Linked DNA regions of Tamandua tetradactyla. The protein of the gene in region 1 interacts with the protein of each later gene in a pairwise test. Links are inferred from orthologs where the notes say so. Each region holds a gene or a part of one and is shown on either strand. Other genes may lie near its edges. The genes, in order: POLR3C and POLR3GL.

Region 1 (10,870 bases):
TGCATACTAGGAACCTCTAAGGAACTTTGACAAACAACTGACCTTAAAAAATCTTTCAGAACCTATCCTGAACTTGTGTGTGTGACACAGCTCATCTCTACAATGGAAAAGAGGGTGCTTATTCCTACACTGCCTTCCAATCAAGGACTACAAAGCTGCATTCCTCCAGATGCTCATTCACGCTTCCAATAGGTACGTCTAAGCACCACTTGATGGTGAGATATACTAAGGTGAACGGAGAGGATCAGGCGGCTCAGCTCCAGTCACATGAAGGCGAGTATTAAAGAGGGACCGCTGTAACTTCAGGCCACCCGCTCCACCTGAGTCGGAATTTAAAACATACAAACTTCTGAGCTCACGAAACCTCTGAGAAACACAGAAAGTAAAACTTGATTAATGCTAAGATGAGTTAAAGGAAAACTAAAAGTTAAGCCTGTTGTCTGCTTTTTGCCTTGTTTTCAAACCAGAATTTCCATGTTTTACTAAATTACATGTGGTACTACTACCTCAATTATTTCCCAACTGGCAAAAAGTCTGCACATTTTTCTCTCAAAGCTGCCCTGCCGTGTGTAACTTGAGAGCAGTGATCCAATTCCTCAGGTCTGTCACCACAAGGAGACAAAGTGGCCCCCAACAGGATACTGCTATAATGCAACAGCAGTCACTAATTTCTGAGACTAGTCCCCGTTCTAGGTTAATACCTTCTGTCTCGGCCTTAGCTAACATTCAATCATCTTACTGAAAAGCTCATCAGGATCCCAAAGTTAGAAATCAAAGCTATGCCAGAACAAAACCTGAGGCACCCTGACACTAGAAGGCAAATACTATCCCTCTCTCCCTCTACACCAAGGTTTCTCAATCTCAAAGCTCCTGACATTCTGGGGACTCTGTTGTGGGCAGGAGGGGAACTGTCCCATGCACTGTGGCCTGTCTGAGCAGCATCCTTGACCTCTACCCCTGAGTGCCTGCAGACACACCCCCTAAGTTATGACATTCAAACATGTCCGCACACACTGACACACGTCCTTCGGCGAGCAAGACCACCCTCAGCTGAGAGCCACTCCTCTATACTATCTCCTTTGTTTCTCATTACTAAGCTGTGGAGGATGGAAAAGAAGCCAGCATCCATAGGTTTCTTATCCTTAGGGTCCTTCTAGTTTGACTAGAAAACAAGAAGTAAACACAGCTTCTTTCCTCTTCTTATAAACCTTTCTTATAGGGTTGTCTCTAAGAATCCATCAATCTCTCCCTAAACACAAATAAAGGTCATAAAGAAACAAACACAAACACGAAATGCATTCAGTTGGTACTTCCCAGAAAAATACAAGGGATTTCATCTGCAATCATCTGCAGCGAATTTAAGATTTTGTTCTTCCTCATACTGAGAAAGTCCCACAAGATTTCCCCACTACATACACGTCTACTTATCAGTAGAATATCAAGGCTAGAAATAGCCACAAGAATGTATCTCTTATTTCTAGATCCTTGATGGGGATATATTTACTGACACTGAAGATTTGAGATTTACATGTATTATGTACCACTCTAGCCCTTTTAAATGAAGATCTCAAAACACTGAAGTCACTACTTCTAAATACAACTAGGTGGTGTTCAACTTATGACATCACTTATTCATTCCAGAAATATTTGACAGGCAAAATGCTATACAGTATCAGTTAGATGGTAAGGTAATTAAGCAGACTTTTTAGATGGTAAATCACCAATAGCAGAGTATAAGATAATCTAATAATTAAAATCTTTCAAATCCAGCTCAAATCACTAAATTGCTTCCCCTATGGAACACAACAACACTACTAACCTAACTTAGGTACTTCTCTGGGAGCTTTCTAAGAATCACGCAACATAGAAAGAGGTCAGTAAGTTTAGCATTTTAAGGGTTACAAAATTTAAGAAATTCACTTTTAACAATTCATGGGGTAATCAGAACATTTTCCTGTATTAGAGGCATTACAAATACAGCACAAATTAACAACTTGTGTAGCACCTGGTAAAGAGCCAAATGAGGTAATGTTACTTACTGGTAGTAACCACATTCTATTAGATCAAGGAAGGTGATATAATAAGGAGATGTGAGAGGGAAGAGAGGCCTGCTAGCCTCCGAGGCCACGACACACGTGCAGTCCTTAAACTGATCTCCATAAAGCACTTAAAAACTACCCTAGGAATTGATGAAAATGTTCTGAGAAATGATGAATATGTAACTAAGTGATGATATTGTGAGTTACTGATTATATATGTTAATGTTTTATTTGGTTTGTTAAATTTTTTAATTAATAAATAATTTTTTTAAAAAAAACTACCCTAGGCTCAGTTGTACCAAAAGTAGATTACTTCTGCATATGATTTATCCCACCTATTTAACAATGACACGACCGGATTCTATTTCACCAGATAATATTCCCTGAATGTAGTACAAAAATCGGGGGGGGGGGGGGAGGCAGGGTGGGAGGCGGAGTGACCTTACCTGCAGCCTCATGAGGTGCACTGAGGTGAGTCCCTAATCTGGCACACTTATCCCCATTGACCCTGGCTTCATACTATCTCTCAACAGGATAGGTGGGGAAACAGGAGCTTCTCCTGGGTTTGAAAATAATTTTAAGATACGTACCTCTTAATATTTCTTCTACCATGTAAAGACTGAAAAATTCACAGAGCCGTTTTACCCAATTATATATAAACCTGAAACCCTGAGGCTTCAGAATATATAATCAAGATCTCTTGGGCGGGCCATGGTGGCTCAGCAGGTAAGAGTGGTTGCCTGCCATGCCCTAGAACCCGGTTCAATTCCCGGTGCCTGCCCATGTTAAAAAAAAAAAAATCTCTTACTTTAAAATCCAAGTTTAGTACTCACCAAACTTTACTAAAATTATATTCACATTAATAGGAAAACATTTTTAGTACGAGAACTAAATTTCAAACTGGAGGATGGAACATCTGAAATCCGATAAGAAACAGAAACTACAGGGAAAAAAATGGAAAAATATGAGAAGGGACTCAGGGAACTGAATGATAATATGAAGAAGTAAATTCCAAAATCAATATTCCCTTCTAGGGACTCTTATTAGAGCTGACAGAAAACAGTACCATTGATACATTTAAATTTCACAATTCCCTTCATGATTTTCCCTAATTTCTTAATATCTCCTTTCTGAACAGAGGCTTTGTCCTCTTATTAGGAAGTATCCAAACCCAAGACACACGAAGCTGAGATGGATAGATCAGAACTAGTAGAAAGGCATGTTATTCCAACAAATTAAATTAATTTAACCATGCAGCTTAACCTCACAGCATTAGGCATAGAAGCTGTAATGAAAATTATTTTTCTTAATACAGAAATTAATTCTACAAAGTAATAGGACTAACAAGAAAAATGACAAACAAAAACCTAAAGGTAGATTCAGGTTTGAACCTTGGTTAAGCTGTTGCGATTGGCCACGCTCACTTCCAAATGTACCAAGAAATGACAGATTCCAAACACTGAGGGAGGTAAAAAAGGGAGGGAGCTGTGTACTTTTCCACCCAGTCTCAGTGAACAAGGGGAGACGGCAGGGGCCGAGATGGCGCCCCAGCAGGCACCCCACTGCGCGGGGAGGAAACCCACCCAGAAGTAGCTCATTAGAGGAGGTACAAATGCCCAGCCTCTGGCAGAGGAAGCGCTCCGGGTGATGCTGCTTCTTGTCACCCAACGGCTCCTACCCGCTTCAGATGCAAATTCAGTGAAGAGAGAGGAAAACGTTCTTCAAGGAGAGCTGGGTCTGGCCGGCCTCACACAGACCACAGGTTCCCGTAATGCACGTCCAGTTCCCCAAACATGCATGCCTAATGCAGGCTGGCTACTCACAGTGGGGGAATCTCAAATTCATATACACATATGAATACATATATGGATATATATATACACACGTTTTTTTTTTGTTTTTTTGGGCTACACATTAACTGAAGTAATCTCATAACAATCCTATTTACAATGGGTTCACATCACAGGAATGAATTAATATGAAGAACATGTTTGGAGGGTACATAACTTCAAGTCACACACCAATGAAGCTTACCTATATGACTCTATCCTCTATCTATGAAATAAACCCAAACAAAAACAAAGAAATCTATGTGAGAATGTTAACTTCAGCATATTTTTGAAATGGTCAAAAATTGAAAATAACCTCAATGTTTCTAGTAGGGACATAGCAATATATTATGGTTCTATCATATAGCGTTCTATGTGATCACTTACAAGAATGAGATCGTGTTCACCTATTAAGGAAAGTTCTCCAAGGTATATTAAGTAAATAACAAATTACCCCAAACAGTACCCAGAATATTATCTATAATATATGCTAGATTTAAATGATATATTTCATATAGAGATATACACATATATTTTCAAGTAATATTTCTTTCTACCAATTTTTTATTTAGATTGTTTTCTTTTTTTTATTAATTAAAAAAAAATTAACTAACACAACATTTAGAAATCATGCACATATGTTTTTAAACTTTTAAATGTTGAGTTTAGCCATGAAAATCAGGGCATTGACTTAGCAATGCTTGAGCTGGCTCTCCCTAGCAGAGACAGATTTGCACAGAACCAGCCACTTCATGGCCGGGTCATCCTTCTAACCAACTTCTCAAGATGACCATCTGGGCTTAAGGACACAGAGACGGCCAGGAAGCAAGATCAAACTCACTGGTTCATACACGAATCACGACTATAACCTTGACCTCAGGGCGCCTTTCCCTAGAAAAGCATAACAACGATATACTGCCTCTCCCCTCTTCCTCGACTCCCTCTTCCTTTTTCCACCTCACAGCCTAGGCTATTCTATCCCGTCTGAATTCACCCATCTCCTTCACAACCCAACTCACATGCCACACCTTCCTTGACCTCGCCAATGCTATCCTGTCCTCCTTTCTGCGAACATTACGGCATCTGTTACCCCATTCTCAGTCACCTTTGTTATTATGTTTTCCCTACCCATGCTGACTTTCCCACAAGATTGTGAGGTCCTTAGGGCAGGGACTGTAGATTCCTCCATGCCACCCCAGGACATGCCGCAGGAGGCCTTGTACGCATACAGCAATATTTATGATATTTAACTGTGTTCGGCTCAATTTCAGACAGGCATGACAGATACTAAATCAAAGTTAAAAGATCAAGAATTTCTCCTTCAGGCATTTAACAAGGCTTGAAAAATCACTTTTAAAATCCTCCAAATTACTGCTTTCTACAAGCACTTACGAGTGAAGACTTGAAGTGGTAAGAAGTGATAAGTTGTGAGAATTTGGACTAGATTTTCTCACTCTTAAAGGGAAGAGAGGGAACAATGACTTAAAACGTGGGAACAACGAGGCCGTAAAGTTCAGCAAAGCATCCTATCTGACAACAGGTCGAGGGTTCCCCGCATACTGGTGGATGCAGACTCCCCTCCACAGTGAAAGAGCTCTGCAAGTTCCAGCAGCACCGCTCTTCCCAGCTGAAACATGGAGAAAGGAAAACAAACAAAACCCACATGTATACAGCCAAATCACAGGCAAAGCTCAGCGTGCACATGCAGCACATGCGGCTTAATGGGTTAGCCGGACCCGAGCCCTAACCGCAGTCAGCCTCCAGGCCAGCGAACCCCGGGCCTGGACCAGAGGCAGCCCCCGCGACCCCCGAGGCCCGCTCTTCGCCGCGGGTCCCCGCAGCAGCTTTTCCGGGCAGGCGCCAGGGCAGCTGGCCGCCGCGGGGACGCCTCCTCCCGGCGCACACCCACCCCGGGGGCCAGAGCCTCGCGGGCCCCACGCGCCGACAGCGCCGTCTTCCGGGGAGCGGGCAGGGGCGCGCCGAGGACGCCGCAGGGGCCCCACGGGCCGAGCTGCAGCGCGGCCCCCGGTCACTCCGCTCAAGCGGGCGGGAGCGCGCGGCCGCCGTCGGGGCGCTGCGGTCCTCGGGCCCCTCGGCCACCAGGGCCCCCTGAGTCCCTGCTCACAGCCTATCCTTCAATTCCCTGAGTCCCTGCTCGTCCCGGGTGCGGCCTCCCCCCGGCGGGTGCGGGACGCAGCGGCACGTGGACAAGAAGCCAGGAGCGCGGCGGGCGGGAGCCGACAGGGCCGAGCGCGGCGCGAAGGTCATCGCGGGAGGAGAGGCGGCGACGCGCGCCCAGAGCCTGCGGAGGAGGACGCCGCCTCGGGGCCCCGCGGGAAGGCCGGGCGGGCGGGGCCGGGGTCGGGCTCTTACCGGCAGTTTAGGGCTGACCTCGCCCTTGCAGAAGTGGCAGAAAAACCGGTGCGCGGCTACGGCGGCGCCTGCGCCCGCCCCGGCCGCCGAGGCCTCCGCCATCTGTCCTCTTCCCCGCGGCCGTCCGAAGGGCAGCGGGCCCGTCCCTCCCCAGCCGCTATCTCCAGCCGCGGCCGCCGTCTCCTCAGGGCGCTGGGCGACCCAGCCACGGCGGTCACGTGAGCCCGCCAGGCCGCGGCCTCCCAGCACCAACGAGACACCGGGAGGAGAGTCCTCAACCGAGGCCCGCCCCCAGCACCAACGAGACGCAGGGAGGAGCGTCCTCAGCGAGGCCCGCCCCCGACATCGACGAGATGCCGCCAAGAGCGTCCTCGGCCGAGGCCCGCCCCCAGCACCAACGAGGCGCCGGCTGGAGAGTCCTCAGCCGAGACCCCACCCCCCAGCACCAACGAGACGCAGGGAGGACCGTCCTCAGCCGCGGCCCGCCCGCCGCCTTAGCCGGCCTCTTTTCCAACGAGAAGAAAGGAAGAGCGTCCCCGGAAACCGCAAAGCTGCGGGTAGAGCGGACGGCGCTTTTACACCGGGCGGGTTGGTTGTTTTGCAGGAAGGGCCGGAGGCCCCGATTTTCCTGGGCTCAGTCGCGTGAAGAGGTGGAGGGTTACTCGTCGCCGTCCCTAGGTGGGCGCCCCTGGACTGCAGCGACCCCGAGGTTAGTGGAACCAGGGCCCCGCGGGAAAGAGTGGAGGGTCCGGGTGGGACCCCTCCGCGGCCTCTCCGTGGGGTGCAGGGCCCGGGCGGGACCCCCCCGCGGCCTCTCCGTGGGGTGCAGGGCCCGGGCGGGACCCCTCCGCGGCCTCTCCGTGGGGTGCAGGGCCCGGGCGGGACCCCTCCGCGGCCTCTCCGTGGGGTGCAGGGCCCGGGCGGGACCCCCCCGCGGCCTCTCCGTGGGGTGCAGGGCCCGGGCGGGACCCCTCCGCGGCCTCTCCGTGGGGTGCAGGGCCCGGGCGGGACCCCTCCGCGGCCTCTCCGTGGGGTGCAGGCTTCGGGTGGGACCCCCCCCGCGGCCTCTCCGTGGGGTGCAGGGCCCGGGCGGGACCCCTCCGCGGCCTCTCCGTGGGGTGCAGGGCCCGGGCGGGACCCCTCCGCGGCCTCTCCGTGGGGTGCAGGGCCCGGGCGGGACCCCTCCGCGGCCTCTCCGTGGGGTGCAGGCTTCGGGTGGGACCCCTCCGCGGCCTCTCCGTGGGGTGCAGGGTTCGGGTGGGACCCCTCCGCGGCCTCTCCGTGGGGTGCAGGCTTCGGGTGGGACCCCCCCGCGGCCTCTCCGTGGGGTGCAGGGCCCGGGCGGGACCCCCCCGCGGCCTCTCCGTGGGGTGCAGGGCCCGGGGCCCCCAAACCTGCGCACCCTGTGGCGGCCGTGTCCGGTGACGCCGAGGCTGCGGGGCAGAGACTCCGCTTGCGAAGAATGTGGAGGAATCGGTGTAAACCAGCGTTTGGTGCAGAGTGTGGCACGAGGGAGTGACCACGTAATCGATCAGTTGTGCTTGTGTTTATTTTCTCAGGGAATAGAATTTGCGGAATTATCCTATTTGAAATACCACGTTGAGAAGCTCTCCTTTACCTTCTAATTGCGTCTTCTACACTGGCAGGTCTTTCATGGAGTGGGAATGATCCTGCCTGTTCACCGCGTGTGTCGTGAACACTGGTCTTAATTTTTCCAAGCAATGAAGTAAAGAATCTGAGGTCTGTGACGCGTCACAAAACTTTATATAATTAAAAAGAGTTAGAACCATGCGTAATCCCAAAAAGATAGGTTTGATGTATAGTCTTCCTGTCTTTTCCTTTTTCCTGTGCATACGTTTTTCTTTTTGTTTTTAAAGCAATTGAACTTTTTATTAGTAAAACTGTAGGTTTAGAGAAAAGTCTTGCATAAAATGCCGAGCTCCCATATACCCACCCTCCAGTTAGTAACACCTTGTATTAATGTGGTTCCTTTGTTACAACTGATGAAAAAATATTATGATTATACTACTAACTATTGCCCATGGTTTATATTAGGGTTCATTGTGTTGTGCAGTCCTATCTTATTGTGGTTTTTTTTAAAAAAATTTTGTTCTAGTAACTTACAGACAATCTAAAATTTCCTCTTTTGAACACATTCTTATATATAATTCGGTGCCGTTAATTCCATTCACAATGCTGTGCTTCCATGACCACCATCCGTTACCAAAACTTTTCCATCACCCACGTAGGAACACTGTCCAACTTAGACATTAAGTTCCCTCCCCCTAGCTTATCCCTGGTAACTTAAATCCTAGTTTCTGATTCTGTGAATTTGCTTATTTTGACTTTCATATTAGTGAGATCATGTAATATTTGTACTTTGTTATCTAGCTTATTTCACTCTTGAGTTTTTAATAGACATTTTGTTTTGTAACTAGCTCTTTTGACTTAATGCATTATAGCCAATTTTATATGCTAATCAATATTGTACTATATCATCTTAAATGTTATAGTATTCCATTGTATGGGTAGACCCTAGTTTATTGAACAAATGCCTTACTAGACATTAGGTTGTTCAGTTTTTCACTGAATAAAGAAACGTACAGTGACATCTTTTTATAGTACGCAGAGTGAAACTGTCAGGTTGAAGGTGTGCCAGAATGTAAGGCTTTTGCTGGATTTTACCAAATTGCCCTCCAGAAAGAGTACACGAATTTATACTCAGTGGCTCTACTCCCAATAGGAAAGAAAAACTTTCTGTGCTACTATCATTAATTGTGTTCTCCCCCCCCCCCTTACTTTCTAGTTTTGAAATCTCCCCGTTACAATGACTCAAGCAGAAATTAATCTGTGCTCTTTGTTGCTGCAAGAGCACTTTGGAGAGATAGTAGAAAAAATTGGAGTCCATCTAATCAGAACTGGCAGTCAGCCACTAAGAGCAATTGCCCATGACACAGGAACATCGCTGGATCAGGTCTGTTTAGATGGCATTAATTTGCTCTTCTCTAACCTACCTTAAAATATTCTTCCCCAACCCAGAAAATGAAAAAGCTTGCCCTGGAATCAGTGCAGCTTTTTTTTTATTTGTGGGAAAGAGGGTGGGACTTAGGCACCAAACTTCTCTTCTTAGGGAATTCCTAGTTCATTGTGTCTTCCTAGGCAAACCCTTCACCTTCCCTTGCCAACCTCATGTACTCAGGACGGTTTTGTTCATCTCAGTACTACTTTTAAGGAATGAGGATGATAGAGGGAAAGAAAAGTGCTTTGAAGGATAAGGCTCAGAGGACAGATGAGCATCATAGCGAGGAATTTTTCCGGATTTCTTTCCTTGACATGTGATTCTTGTTAACTTTTCCAATTAAGGAAGGAAGGAGTGAAACATTCTTGTCTAGATTTCCTAATGCTTAGAAAGCTATTGGACAAAAAATTGCCAGTAATATTGAGCTATGGCGTCAGGCCTTTTCCTCTTTTTTTTCCTTTTCTACGTAGGTAAAAAAAGCCCTTTGCGTCCTCATTCAGCATAATCTAGTAGTATACCAAGTGCACAAGCGTGGCATGGTGGAGTATGAGGCCCAGTGTGGCCGGGTGCTATGGATGCTCAGGTATCCCCGGTACATCTACACTGCCAAGACGCTCTACGGCGACACCGGCGAGCTGATCGTGGAAGAGCTGCTGCTGAATGGTAAGATGACGATGTCAGCTGTGGTGAAGAAGGTGGCAGACCGGCTCACAGAGACCATGGAGGGTCAGTATTGTATCCATTGGCTGCTGCAGGAGTGGACCCCCAGCTGTCTCAGGCCGTCTCAACTGCCCCTTTCCTCTCCTGTGCAGACGGCAAGACCATGGATTACTCCGAGGTTGCACACACCTTTGTGCGCCTGGCCGACACGCACTTCGTGCAGCGCTGCCCCGCAGCGCCTGCCCCTGAGAACTCAGACCCTGGGCCACCGCCACCTGCCCCCACCCTTATCGTTAATGAGAAAGACATGTACCTGGTTCCTAAACTGAGCTTGATCGGTAAGAAATTTGACCCCTGAAACTATTATCCTAATCGTATAGTTTTCATTGTTAATTGAATGAATCAGTCGTGACGGGCCAACAAGAACCGCACCCTTAGTCTAGTGTAGGAAATGTACGGTAGTCAAATATCTGCACAAATATATAACAAACTGATGAGTGCTGTAAAGAAGAGCAAGGGTAATGGAAATATGGAGCAGAGGACCAGGTTTATCTCAGGTTAGGTAGGGCACGTGCTTCTTTGAGGAAGTGGCATATGAGCCAGATCTGAAACAGAGGTAGGAGCCAGCGATGAGGTGTGGAGGAGTACAGTTACAGTGAGGAATTAAAAATACAGGGTATTTGAGGAACTGAAACATGGTCAGTGTGTCAAGAGGCAGGCAGGGGCTTGGTCAGGCAGGACCTATGGAGCATCTGTTCTTAAGAGCAAAGGAAGACCACTGAAAGATTTTAAACCAGGGAAATGACATGATCTAATTTACATTTTTAAAAGATTTTTCTACAGAAAGAATGGGAGAGTAGGTCAAATGTAAATGTAGACCAACCAGTAAAAAATCAGATGCAGAAAACATGAGAGAGACAGAGCATTTTAAGAATCACATGTTGTGGCTG
Region 2 (10,508 bases), about 110 kb from region 1:
TCACTTTTTAATGGTTTCTAAAAGCTAAAGTCTTCTTTCAGAAATGTGAGGATGGAATAAGAAACTGGAGAAAGTGGTCAGAAAAAATAAAAACTGTGATCTGTGTTTGGAAATGCTTATAGATTCATTCATTTTTAGAGCTGGAAGGGACTTCAGAGATTAACATGTTCAACTCACGCTACAGAAGGGGCCACCTCAAGGTCGCAGAGCTGGGCACAAATCTACGTGTCCTCATGCTGATGTTACTTCCCATATGGAATCTCACCCTGAATCCAAGGCCCAGTCCATGGTCGAGCCTCCTGAGGGTCTGCAAAGCCCCCTAAAGCTATAAGTAAAATTTTGGATATGCGTGCACAGGACTACGCATATGTGGGGGGGGGCGGTAGTTTTTATCAGGTTTTCCGAGAGGAACCACAGGTGCGAGGTTTTCCTAAGGGCTGTGAGGTAGCAGTGAGGCAGGAGGTGAGACTGACTGACACGCACATAACTGCTTCTGTCTGAAAAGGACAAACAAGACCAAGAGTGACGAATATTTAACTGCTTGTATCGTGATGTTGAACAACAACAACGAAATAGAGTAAATTTGGTTTTTGCCCTTAGGAGATAAAGGAATAGATGAATGTCTAGGAGGAACAAATGGTCCAGATCATACGTCTACCAGAGTAAAGACACAAAAGGACACATGAAACCAGAGTAAGGCGTTTACGTCATCATAATACAGTTTCGTTGTAGGGGAGCACGGATAAATAGACGGTAAACAGACAATGACACTGAGAGGTGAGTGCGGAGGTTCTTGCTGCTCACGCCAGGATGGCGAGAATAGGCCGTCCTGTCTTAACTCACATTATTACGCAAGATAAGGAAGCTGCTTAACAATATTTCACCTGACACTTCAGTTTTTAGGAGGTATCTCTGAATCACCCAATCATACTACACGCCTTCTATCAGCTGTGATTTCTTTCATGCTTGTTTCTTCCTAGGTGCACAGAACTGTGATCCTCCAGTCCAGAAATTTGTTACTCACTGGGAAAGCAGAGCCATGAACATGCAATTACAACACGGTTTTCAGTGCATTTCAAAACACCAAAAATTCAGTCTTCCACAGCACTTCTACCCACATTTACTTGATACTACTTAAAATAACTGCTTGTTTTCTCCCCAAAATTCTCCTCCAGACCCATCCCAGAAAGACTTGTTTGCTGCACCCTAGGAACCTGTTGAGCATAAATAATAGAAAAGCCGCAGTACTTGATGTTTTATTTTGTTCGTTCATGGACACCACTGAGCAGATTTTGGGGGGGATGCGTGGTCTGGGAACCGAAACCAGGTATCCCGCATGGAAGGTGGGCATTCTACCACTGAACTACCCAGGCACCCTGAGCAGATTAAAAAGAGATCTGTAAAATATATGCAGCTTCTGAGAACAAACAGCACTATGCCAGAGTATAAATATAAAGATGCAGACCCCTTCTTCAAATAACCACACAAATCCAGGGCTACCCGGGAGGAGCAAGAGAAGCAAGTGGAGACTCAGTGAGTAGATTCTTTGGAAGAGAGGAACCGAGGCACAGGGACTTTGGTATGTGCCACACATCCATAACCTAGTCCTCGGAACTGCGAGTGTGACCTCCGGCAGCAAGGACTTTGAGGGTTGATTAAATTAAGGACTTGAAATGGTGAGATTATCCTGGGGGTCTGAGTGGGCCCTGAATGCAGACACAAGTATCCTAACAGGGAAGGAGAGGCAAGTGGCCACAGAGGGCAGCGCCGCAGTCACAAGCCGAGGAGTCCCAGCAGCCGCCAGGATCCGAAGAGGTTAGAGCAGGTTTCCCCAGAGCCCCTGGGGAAAGCATGGCCGGCACCCTGAGTGTGGTCCACATGCACTGATTTCAAACGTCTGGCCTCCAGAACTCTGGGAGAATAAATTGCTGTCATTTTAAGCCACCAAGTCTGTGACAGCTTGCTATAGCAGCCATGGGAAACTAATATAGGGGACAACACAGTTTCCCAAACTGGAAATATTCAGACCAATCATTTTAACCCCACGGTCACTTTCAGGCGAAGCTGCCTGTAATTCTGAGGAGAAAGGACAACAAAGCAGAAAATACCATTCAAGTGACACTTGTTCAACCTAGAAAAGTAGCGGGGCACAACCTCTAATCACGTAGCCATACTATAACATAAAGAGAGGGCAATAATTCAAAAAATCAGGCTTGAAGAGAGCAATGCAGCAGTTACACAGCAAGGAAAGTGACTTGGCCATTCAGTCAGTTATGCTGGTTTGGGGATTGCTAGCTGTCAGGCATTGCAAGAAGGTGGCTCTATGTCATGTGGAAAAGGGGGGACAAAGGAGGCAGAGTGTTAGCAATACCTGTCGTGTGCAGAGTCTTCAAACAACTTCCAGATGCATAATGACAGCAACCACTCACTGGGTACCACGTGGATTGGGAACTTTATATTCGCTGTCTTGTTCAATCCACACAGAGCCATCAAGACAGGTATGACGATGCTCATTTACAGAGAGTAAAAAGGATCACACCACAGTGGCAGAACCAGGGTTTAGAACCAATGTTTGTTTGGCTTCAAAGTCAACCCACTTTCTGTTGTACTCTCCTGCTTTACTACACCATTCATCCTCACACTTGTTTGGAAAGTGGATGTGAGTTCCACGAGACTAAGGACTGAGAAGCTGTCTTGTTCACCACTGCGTCTGCTGAGCAATAAATACTTGTTGAATGAATGAATGAAACTATGGGGTCTTGAGAGATTAAGCAAGATCACACAGCCAGAACTGATCAGGATCCTACAGCATACTGGGCTGTGCGTGTATCTTTGGAAGTGGATAGGTAATAAAAGGACAAACAGCTGAAATTCCAGAAGAGTTTTTGAAGAAACGCTGAGATCCTAGAAGAATGGGGTAAAGGGTGAGTGTGAAGAAGATGGAGGGTGTGCACTGAAGACGGTGCAGGAAAACACTGCTGGTCCAAGAAACGGTCTGGGCAAAGGCCAAAATATGCTGTACTCAGGAGAGCAGAGCCAGCCCCCAAACACCAAATGCCATCAGTCACATGGGCGTGTGGGACATGCCAACGGCAGCTTTGCCTATTCATTGGAGCAGAATAAGTGATTCCATGTGGGGATGGACTTCTAAGCCAAATCAGCAGAGATTCGCTTGCCTGAAGTTTAACTATCTGCCAAACTCTTCCAAAGTACTGGCTGGATATCCAGACTGGAAACGGGAAGCGAGCATCATGGGAGGGCCTGCGGTGGGAGGTGGGGGGCTGGAGGAGGGGTCTCCACACAGCCTACAGCGCGACTGACTGCTCGATGTCAGCACAACTCCCTTGTTCCCCATCCTTTCTAGGGAAATGAAAAAAGTGTCCAGATTAGAGGCTTTCCAGGTAACACAACTAAGAAAGGATACATTGTAGACTTTTAATAAATGCCTTATCTTCCCCAGAGGAAGTGGTCAGATGTCAGACTGCCAGTCCTGGCCATGCCCATACCCAGAACCAGAGGCTGTCCCTTGGCCTCCACCTATAGATCTGAAGCAGGACACAGTGGATGGCAGTTCCATCACATTGTCCTCTAAAAACCAGAAACTAAAGTAGAAAAAGAACTCTATCCCCTCACGGTGAGTTCCAAAAGCACATCCACTGCATCCCCAGTACCTTGCAGCGTGCCTGCCCCATGGTAGAAATTCAAAGTACATGAAAAATGAAGGAAAATGATCATAAATGAATCACTGGACATATAAATAGCAAAATGGACCTAAAATTTTGTTTTCATACAAATCTTTGAGTTTACACTGTACAGATTTAGAGTGGGAGGAAATGAGATATGTTCTTCCCAAGAAAATATAAACCAATATATTTTAGATATTAATAATAGTTATCATTTAGTAAGTACCCATTATGTGTCATTTAATCCAAATCATAACCCTTGAAGAAACTGAAGCTCAGTGAAATTGAGTCACTTCACCAAGAACACAGGATGGCAAAGATGTAATCTGGGACTGAATCCAGACCTGCCTGACTCCAAAACCCGTGCCCCTTTAGCTGGGCTTTCTCAGACAAAACAAGTGGTCACCATCTAAGGACAGCCCTGCAGTGTCTCTGCATTATTGTTAAACCAGAAAGCCAAAGGCGTTGTCATTTCCAGGCCGAGCAGACAGAAGTGATGTCTTAAAATTCCAGACCTAAAAGCTGCCTTCCTCACCCCTCAGCAGATAGTCCTTGTCCGTTACACTAAATCTGAAACTTCAGCTCAGAAAGAAACTGGTTAAATAAAAACCACAGAGAAAATCCTCCCATCCCCCTTGCCAGAAACCGTACAAATGAGGCATCTCTAAGATGAAGATTTCTAATGGAAATAGAGTTTCTGCCTGGCTCATCTCCACAGAAGTGAGCACTCGGGGCGCCCGGGCCTGGGCTTTATGCTCAGTTCCTGGGCAAGGGCCAGGACCGCGGGGCCCGCCGGCCGGAGGCCAGGGGCGCGGCCGGGCGCGCAGACACTTGGCTGGGGTGGGCGCCACGCCGGGGGCCCAGATTTGGAGGCGCAGCTACCGAGTGGCGCGCGCAGGCGCCAGGTTGTCCTGAAGTTGTGCAGGAAGTTGCCGAGGGAAGTAGGAAAAGCACTGGAAAGTCAAGGTTAAGGAGAGAGTGACGGAGCGGGGGGCTTGGGGAATCGCTGGGCTCGCTGGGGACAGTCCGCGAGGACACGACTGAGAAAAGTCCGGGATCGAAGATAAGGCTGAGCGGCCCAGACCACGGGCCTGGCCCTCGACGGGGAGGGGTGCTGAGACAGCACTTTACACAAGCCCCACTTCACAAGGGGGAGGGCCGGGGAAGAAAAGACGGCCGGGGCGCGGGGGCGCGGGGCCGCAGGGGAAGGAGGGGGCCGCTCGGTAAAGGGGTGCACGAGTGCGCGCTGGCCGCCCCAAAGGAGCCCCCGACGGCCACGCCGCGGGGCGCGGGCGGGGGGCGGGGGGCGCTGCCGGGGCGAGGGCCTGCACTCACCTCGCCCGTAGCCCTGCGTGTGCTTGGCGAAGCTCCTCACCACCGCCTCCACCGCTTCGCGCAGCACCGCGGGGCCGCCGGCCGCTCCCGGAGGCAAGGGCAGCCCGGGGGCCGCGGGCGGCGGCGCGGGGGGCGGCGGCGCGGGTGGGGGGCCCCCAGGAGGCGTGGCGGCCGCGGCCCCCGTCACTCCGGGCCGCAGAGCTCGCAGAGCGCCGCGCCCGCCGGGCCCCACTCCGGGCTGCAGGCGCTGGGCGCGCATCGTCTCCATCCGCCGCGGCGGGAGCGGCGGCCCGGAGTCCGGCGAGGGGACTGCCCAGCGGCCCGGCCAGCTCCAGGGGCGGAGGGCGGGGCCGGGCGGCAGCAGCCTGGCGGGGGTGGGGAGAAGCCAGGCCGCACGCCAGTCATCAGGGAGAGGGCGGGGAGAAGCCGGGCCGCACGCCAGTCATCAGGAAGAGGGCGGGGAGAAGCCGGGCCGCACGCCAGTCATCAGGGAGAGGGCGGGGAGAAGCCGGGCCGCACGCCAGTCATCAGGAAGAGGGCGGGGAGAAGCCGGGCCGCACGCCAGTCAGCAGGGAGGGGGCGGGGAGAAGCCGGGCCGCACGCCAGTCACCAGGGAGGGGGCGGGGAGAAGCCGGGCCGCACGCCAGTCATCAGGGAGGGGGCGGGGAGAAGCCGGGCCGCACGCCAGTCACCAGGGAGGGGGCGGGGAGAAGCCGGGCCGCACGCCAGTCATCAGGGAGGGGGCGGGGAGAAGCCGGGCCGCACGCCAGTCATCAGGAAGAGGGCGGGGAGAAGCCGGGCCGCACGCCAGTCATCAGGGAGGGGGCGGGGAGAAGCCGGGCCGCACGCCAGTCACCAGGGAGAGGGCGGGGAGAAGCCGGGCCGCACGCCAGTCATCAGGGAGGGGGCGGGGAGAAGCCGGGCCGCACGCCAGTCATCAGGGAGGGGGCGGGGAGAAGCCGGGCCACACGCCAGTCACCAGGGAGAGGGCGGGGAGAAGCCGGGCCGCACGCCAGTCACCAGGGAGGGGGCGGGGAGAAGCCAGGCCGCACGCCAGTCATCAGGAGGGGCGGGGGCTGCCGGATCCAGGCCAGCCATAGGCGAGTTACCGCGGAAGGCGGAGGGTCTTCGCGGCCAATCGCAGAGGGGAAGCTGCATCCTCTTCAAGGGAGAAGCGGGACTTGGGCCGGTCTTTGGGGATCCCGTGGTGAGTACGAGAAAGCGGGCCAGACCCCTGGGGTGGAGCTTAGAGAAAAAGTAGGAGTCGATACAAGGCTGGGGAGAACTGTAGACAGAGTGAGAGGATTCTTAAAAGTAATTGCCCGACTACTTCATTTGACAGCTGTAGATGAAGAAACTGGCTCAGAGAAGTGGTGTGTAAGATCACACGCAATTGATGGTAGAGACAAAGCAAGGAAAGATACTGACAATGAGCTGACTCTTAAGCTCTACGTCAGGCACTAGGCGATGGGCTTTACTGCATTGTCTTATTTAATAATCTCAATCACTAATTCAGTTTTGTTTTATGGACAAGTAAACTGACGTTCAGAGAGACTATATAAATTGCCCTATATCAAATAGCTAGGAAATGGCAAAGCGAGATTCAGACCGATAGGTCTTCTGACTCCCAGTATTTTGATATTTTCACTACACCACATTGTTCAGTGACTTTCTCATTTGACCTAAATTGGAGGAGAGAGTAAAAGTAGGATGGGCAACAACCTTCACCTCCCAGTAGAGTGAAAAGAGAATATATGTAAAAACCCAGCCAACTGAGAGGATAGATTAGCGCAGTGACCCTGTTCATAGGCCCTCCAAGGCTGGGCTTCTTCGGTTACTCCTACACACTCCCTGCACACCCAGTGTCAGTTGACCATCATGTCATGTTTACACAGGTGAAATTATTCTAGGTACTCCTCTCCACCCCACCCCCACCTCCCTTATTCTCTTTCTCACTGTGCCCTACAGTGACTCAGAAATCAATAATGGGGAAAAAGAGGCCAGAAGTAGAAGAAAATGAATAAGAGATACCCCCAAGGAAAAGCACGGAGTGATCAAGAAATAGGAAGCTTGGAAGAGGGACATTTAATCTAATGAAATGTGTCTGTTGAGGGCAGAGCTGTAGGGATCTAAGTTAAAGAGCTTGGGAAGGGATGTGGGAGAGAATGGGGGGAAGAAAACCCAGTTAAATGACTTAAAGCCTTCAGAACACTTACTTTTCCTTCTACAAACACGGTTGGTCATGTGGCCCCCTAGAAAGTAGGTGGCTGGAACTTCTAAATATCTCCTGGATCATTATAGCTTTGGTCAGCATCACCCTCCCTCCCCACCATTTCTCATATCCCATGTTTACCACTCCCAGGCAGAAGAGTGACAAAGCAGAGACTTCTGAACACTTTTATTTGATATGTCAAGTGGAGAGAGAAGTGATTTAGGATTGCCCCCCACTTCACCTGTGGGGGTGTTCATAAGCTCAGACAAAAACAGAAGAGCAGCTAAGGGCTCAACCTGCCCTTTGGGAAAACGAGACAACCTGCTGTGGTGTATTAGTTGGGGGAACAGGGCAGGCATGAAAAGCATGGAGTTGAGAAGGGAAGCTGAGAGCAGGAAGAGCATCAGCAGAAGTGAGGTTGGGAGTTACCACAGGAAACCTCCAAGAAGAATGAAGAAGATAATCCTCAAAAGCGGATGGGGCTGGACGCAGTGTGTGAACAGGGAGCCCACCCTGGAAAAGCAAGGCCTGCAGAGCAGGGTGGGGCAGTTGTGAAGAGGGGAGTGTGTGTAAAGTCATGATGGCGCCTGTGTTACAGGGCACACGTGGAAAGCAGGGGGTTGCCATTTAGGGGACGTTTTCAGCAGGAGGGCAAATACAGCAAGGACTACCCATAGGCAGGACCTCCCTACTGCTTCTGACAAATGCGAGCGAGTTTGGGGTCCGTGTGGAGTCCTCGCACAAGTGGCCCTGTGTGTTTATTGGTTTGCCATGCCTCTGGGCACACAAGTGATTTCATATAGGTGTGAAGTGAGCAGGGCATGAAGGCATGGGTCTATAGGCCCAGTAAATAGAGATTACCCTTTCCTACAAATAGTACTGTGCTTGTGAACACGTTTACCCACGTGTGCGTGCAGCGTGCCCATGAGCACATGCAAGTGACCCTGTGCAATGCGTGCGAGCTGTTCCCCCATCTAGTCCTCAGGCCCTGACCCCCAGCCTCCCGGCTCCTCTCCCGTGTCTCAGCGCCCCGGCTCCCCCGGCCCACCGAGACTCTGGAAGCCCCCTAGCAGGCGGATCTGCTCAGTTTGCATGGAGTGGCGCCGCACCAACTTGCGCTTGGCCCTGGGAGAGCCTGGCACCCCCGCGTGGGGAGGGGCGGGCAGCGAAGGCGCCCGACCTCCGGGCTGGGGGCGGATGTCGGGAATGGGGGGGTGGGGGCTAACGTTGAGAGGCGGTAGGAAGCCAGGCCGAGTTTGCGCGATGTGGTCCAGGAGCAAGGTCCCTGAGCCCCTCCGCTCCAGCAGCCCGGGGCTCCGCCTCCGGCCGCTCAGCGGGGATACAGCCCCGGGCAGACTCTCCTGGGACTGGCGCGGGGAGGGGGCCGAGGCAGCGGGCGGGAGGGTCAGTGGGGAGGCGCTGTATCTGCGGCGCTCCAGGGACGGGCGGCCGCACTCGGGCGAGTCGGGGCACAGATGTCCGGGGCCGTCGAGCTCCACTGGCTCCATGCGGCTCAGTTTCTGCCTCAGCCCTGCAGGGGGGCAGGGCTCCTGCGCCTCCGGCGCCGTGTTGCGCCGGGAGAGGGGCCCCCCGCCCGCCACCTTCTCCGCCCACGGAGGCGGGTCCTCTGGGCCCTCGGTGCTGTGACGGCGGGAGAGGCGGGGGCGGCCGGTCAGGCTGAGGCCGTTGAACTCGGCCGTCAGGCGCTCTAGCCCGGGCCTCGCCTCGGCTGGCGGAGCCGGTTGAGGGGGGGCCACGAGGCCCCAGGGCTCAGAGTTGAGCCTTTTCAGTGGTTTTGGGGGGTGGCGGGGTGGCTTGGGAAGTGGCTCGGAAGGGGAGGGGTCATCGGGGGGCTTGGGGAGCGGGAATTCAAAGACGTCCCGCCTCTCCTCCTCCTCCTGGGCGCGAGGGGACAGCGCCCCCCGGCCTCCCGCCGCAGCCTGCAGCTGGATCTCCGAGGGCGACGTGCAGAGCCCTGGGCTAGGGGGGGCCGGGGCGGGGTCCTCCACCCCTGGGGAGGGTGGGGAATTCAGATACTGCCGGGTCTTCTTGGTACCCGAGGGCGAGGTGTCAGTGGTGATAATGATGACCTCCGTGCCCTTGGCCTTGCAGGCGTCCAGCAGCGTGGCGAGGGTCTCGCGGTCCCCGCGGTCCAGGGCGTGGACGAGCGCCGAGGCGCCCGCGTGGTCTCGCACCGAGGGGTCCGCGCCGTGGGCCAGGAGCAGCGAGGCCACGGCGGCGCCCCCCCCTCCGGCGCACGCGTGCATGAGCGCTGTGCGCCCCAGGCGGTCGGCGATGTTGGGGTCGGCGCCCTGCTCCAAGAGGTAGCGCACCATGCGCGCCTTGTTCTGCGGGTCGTCGTAGCGGGCGCGGCAGGCGGCCATCAGCGCGGTCTCTCCCTGGGCGTCGCCCTCATTCACATAGGCGCCCCCCTCCAGGAGCAGACGGGCCAAGCGGAGCTTGCCCTGCCCCACGGCCCGAAGCAGAGCGTGGCCCTCGGTGTGCAGCATGGCTGCGGCTGGGACAAGGCCGGAGGCGACGCGGCCGCCACCGGGACCTGCCGAGGACGGCGAGGCGAGGCGCTGCGGTGGCTGGCAGAGGTCCGAGGGGTCAGCGGCGAAGTCGATCCCTGCGATAAAGAGAGACCGTATTGACGGATCCGGGCAGAGTAACGGAGGCACGGACGGCAGGACCCGGGCTGGGGGGCGGGGGCAGATCCCCATGGCACACTGTCCTTCCTCTAAGCCATGCCTCCGAGCCGCCCCTTCCCCGCTAGCGCATGCCTGAGGCGGTGGGAAGGGTGCACCCGCACTGGGGGGACGAGCACGCGTGCAAATGCATACGTGCACGCGCGGGGATATCCGTACCCCCACCCTCACCCCAAGGCTTATCAGACCTCTCCCGCAGCCCTCGTTTCTTATCCGCACTTGGAATCCCCTTTCTAGGGTGCTGAACGCCCCCCGCCCCCACACTCGCATCAGTACACTCGCATCCACATTCCCAGTCCTAGCCTCTTCTAGGCGGCCACAGCCCCAGATGCTGAGTGGGGGCAGGGAAGCGCCTTGGGTTTGGGACCTAAAACGGGTGGGGGAAGAATTGGGGGTTTCTTTTGCCCCTGCTGATATGTTCCCCATCACTCCTCGGCTCATTCCCCTCCCAGGCTGTGCGCCCAAATAGATACCTGAACGTTCGCAGAATCGCCGCCAGGCCAGGACCGAGGTCGGGGCCGCTGGGCAGCCCGCGAGGGGGAGCCGGGCTCCCGGGGGCCCACATGGCTG

Evidence for each region.
Region 2: the proteins of POLR3C (region 1) and POLR3GL interact in binary tests that used the Homo sapiens proteins (3 or more experiments, as listed by UniProt). The link is inferred for Tamandua tetradactyla from reciprocal best matches to the Homo sapiens genes POLR3C and POLR3GL.

The regions. Positions count from the first base shown.
Region 1 is NC_135330.1:1,316,561-1,327,430, forward strand, and holds the start of POLR3C (DNA-directed RNA polymerase III subunit RPC3), read left to right. Parts: upstream 1-6,591; 5' UTR 6,592-6,950; intron 6,951-7,800; exon of another isoform or gene 7,801-7,887; 5' UTR 7,888-7,981; intron 7,982-9,047; 5' UTR 9,048-9,068; coding exon 9,069-9,215; intron 9,216-9,730; coding exon 9,731-9,986; intron 9,987-10,072; coding exon 10,073-10,258; intron 10,259-10,870. Other genes in the region: E3 ubiquitin-protein ligase RNF115, read right to left, coding at 6,242-6,343. UniProt on the Homo sapiens protein: DNA-dependent RNA polymerase catalyzes the transcription of DNA into RNA using the four ribonucleoside triphosphates as substrates.
Region 2 is NC_135330.1:1,430,484-1,440,991, forward strand, and holds the start of POLR3GL (DNA-directed RNA polymerase III subunit RPC7-like), read left to right. Parts: upstream 1-6,113; 5' UTR 6,114-6,225; intron 6,226-7,409; exon of another isoform or gene 7,410-8,252; coding exon of another isoform or gene 8,253-9,740; intron 9,741-10,508. Other genes in the region: LIX1L (LIX1-like protein), read right to left, coding at 5,019-5,286; ANKRD34A (ankyrin repeat domain-containing protein 34A), read right to left, coding at 8,253-9,740. UniProt on the Homo sapiens protein: DNA-dependent RNA polymerase catalyzes the transcription of DNA into RNA using the four ribonucleoside triphosphates as substrates. Specific peripheric component of RNA polymerase III which synthesizes small RNAs, such as 5S rRNA and tRNAs.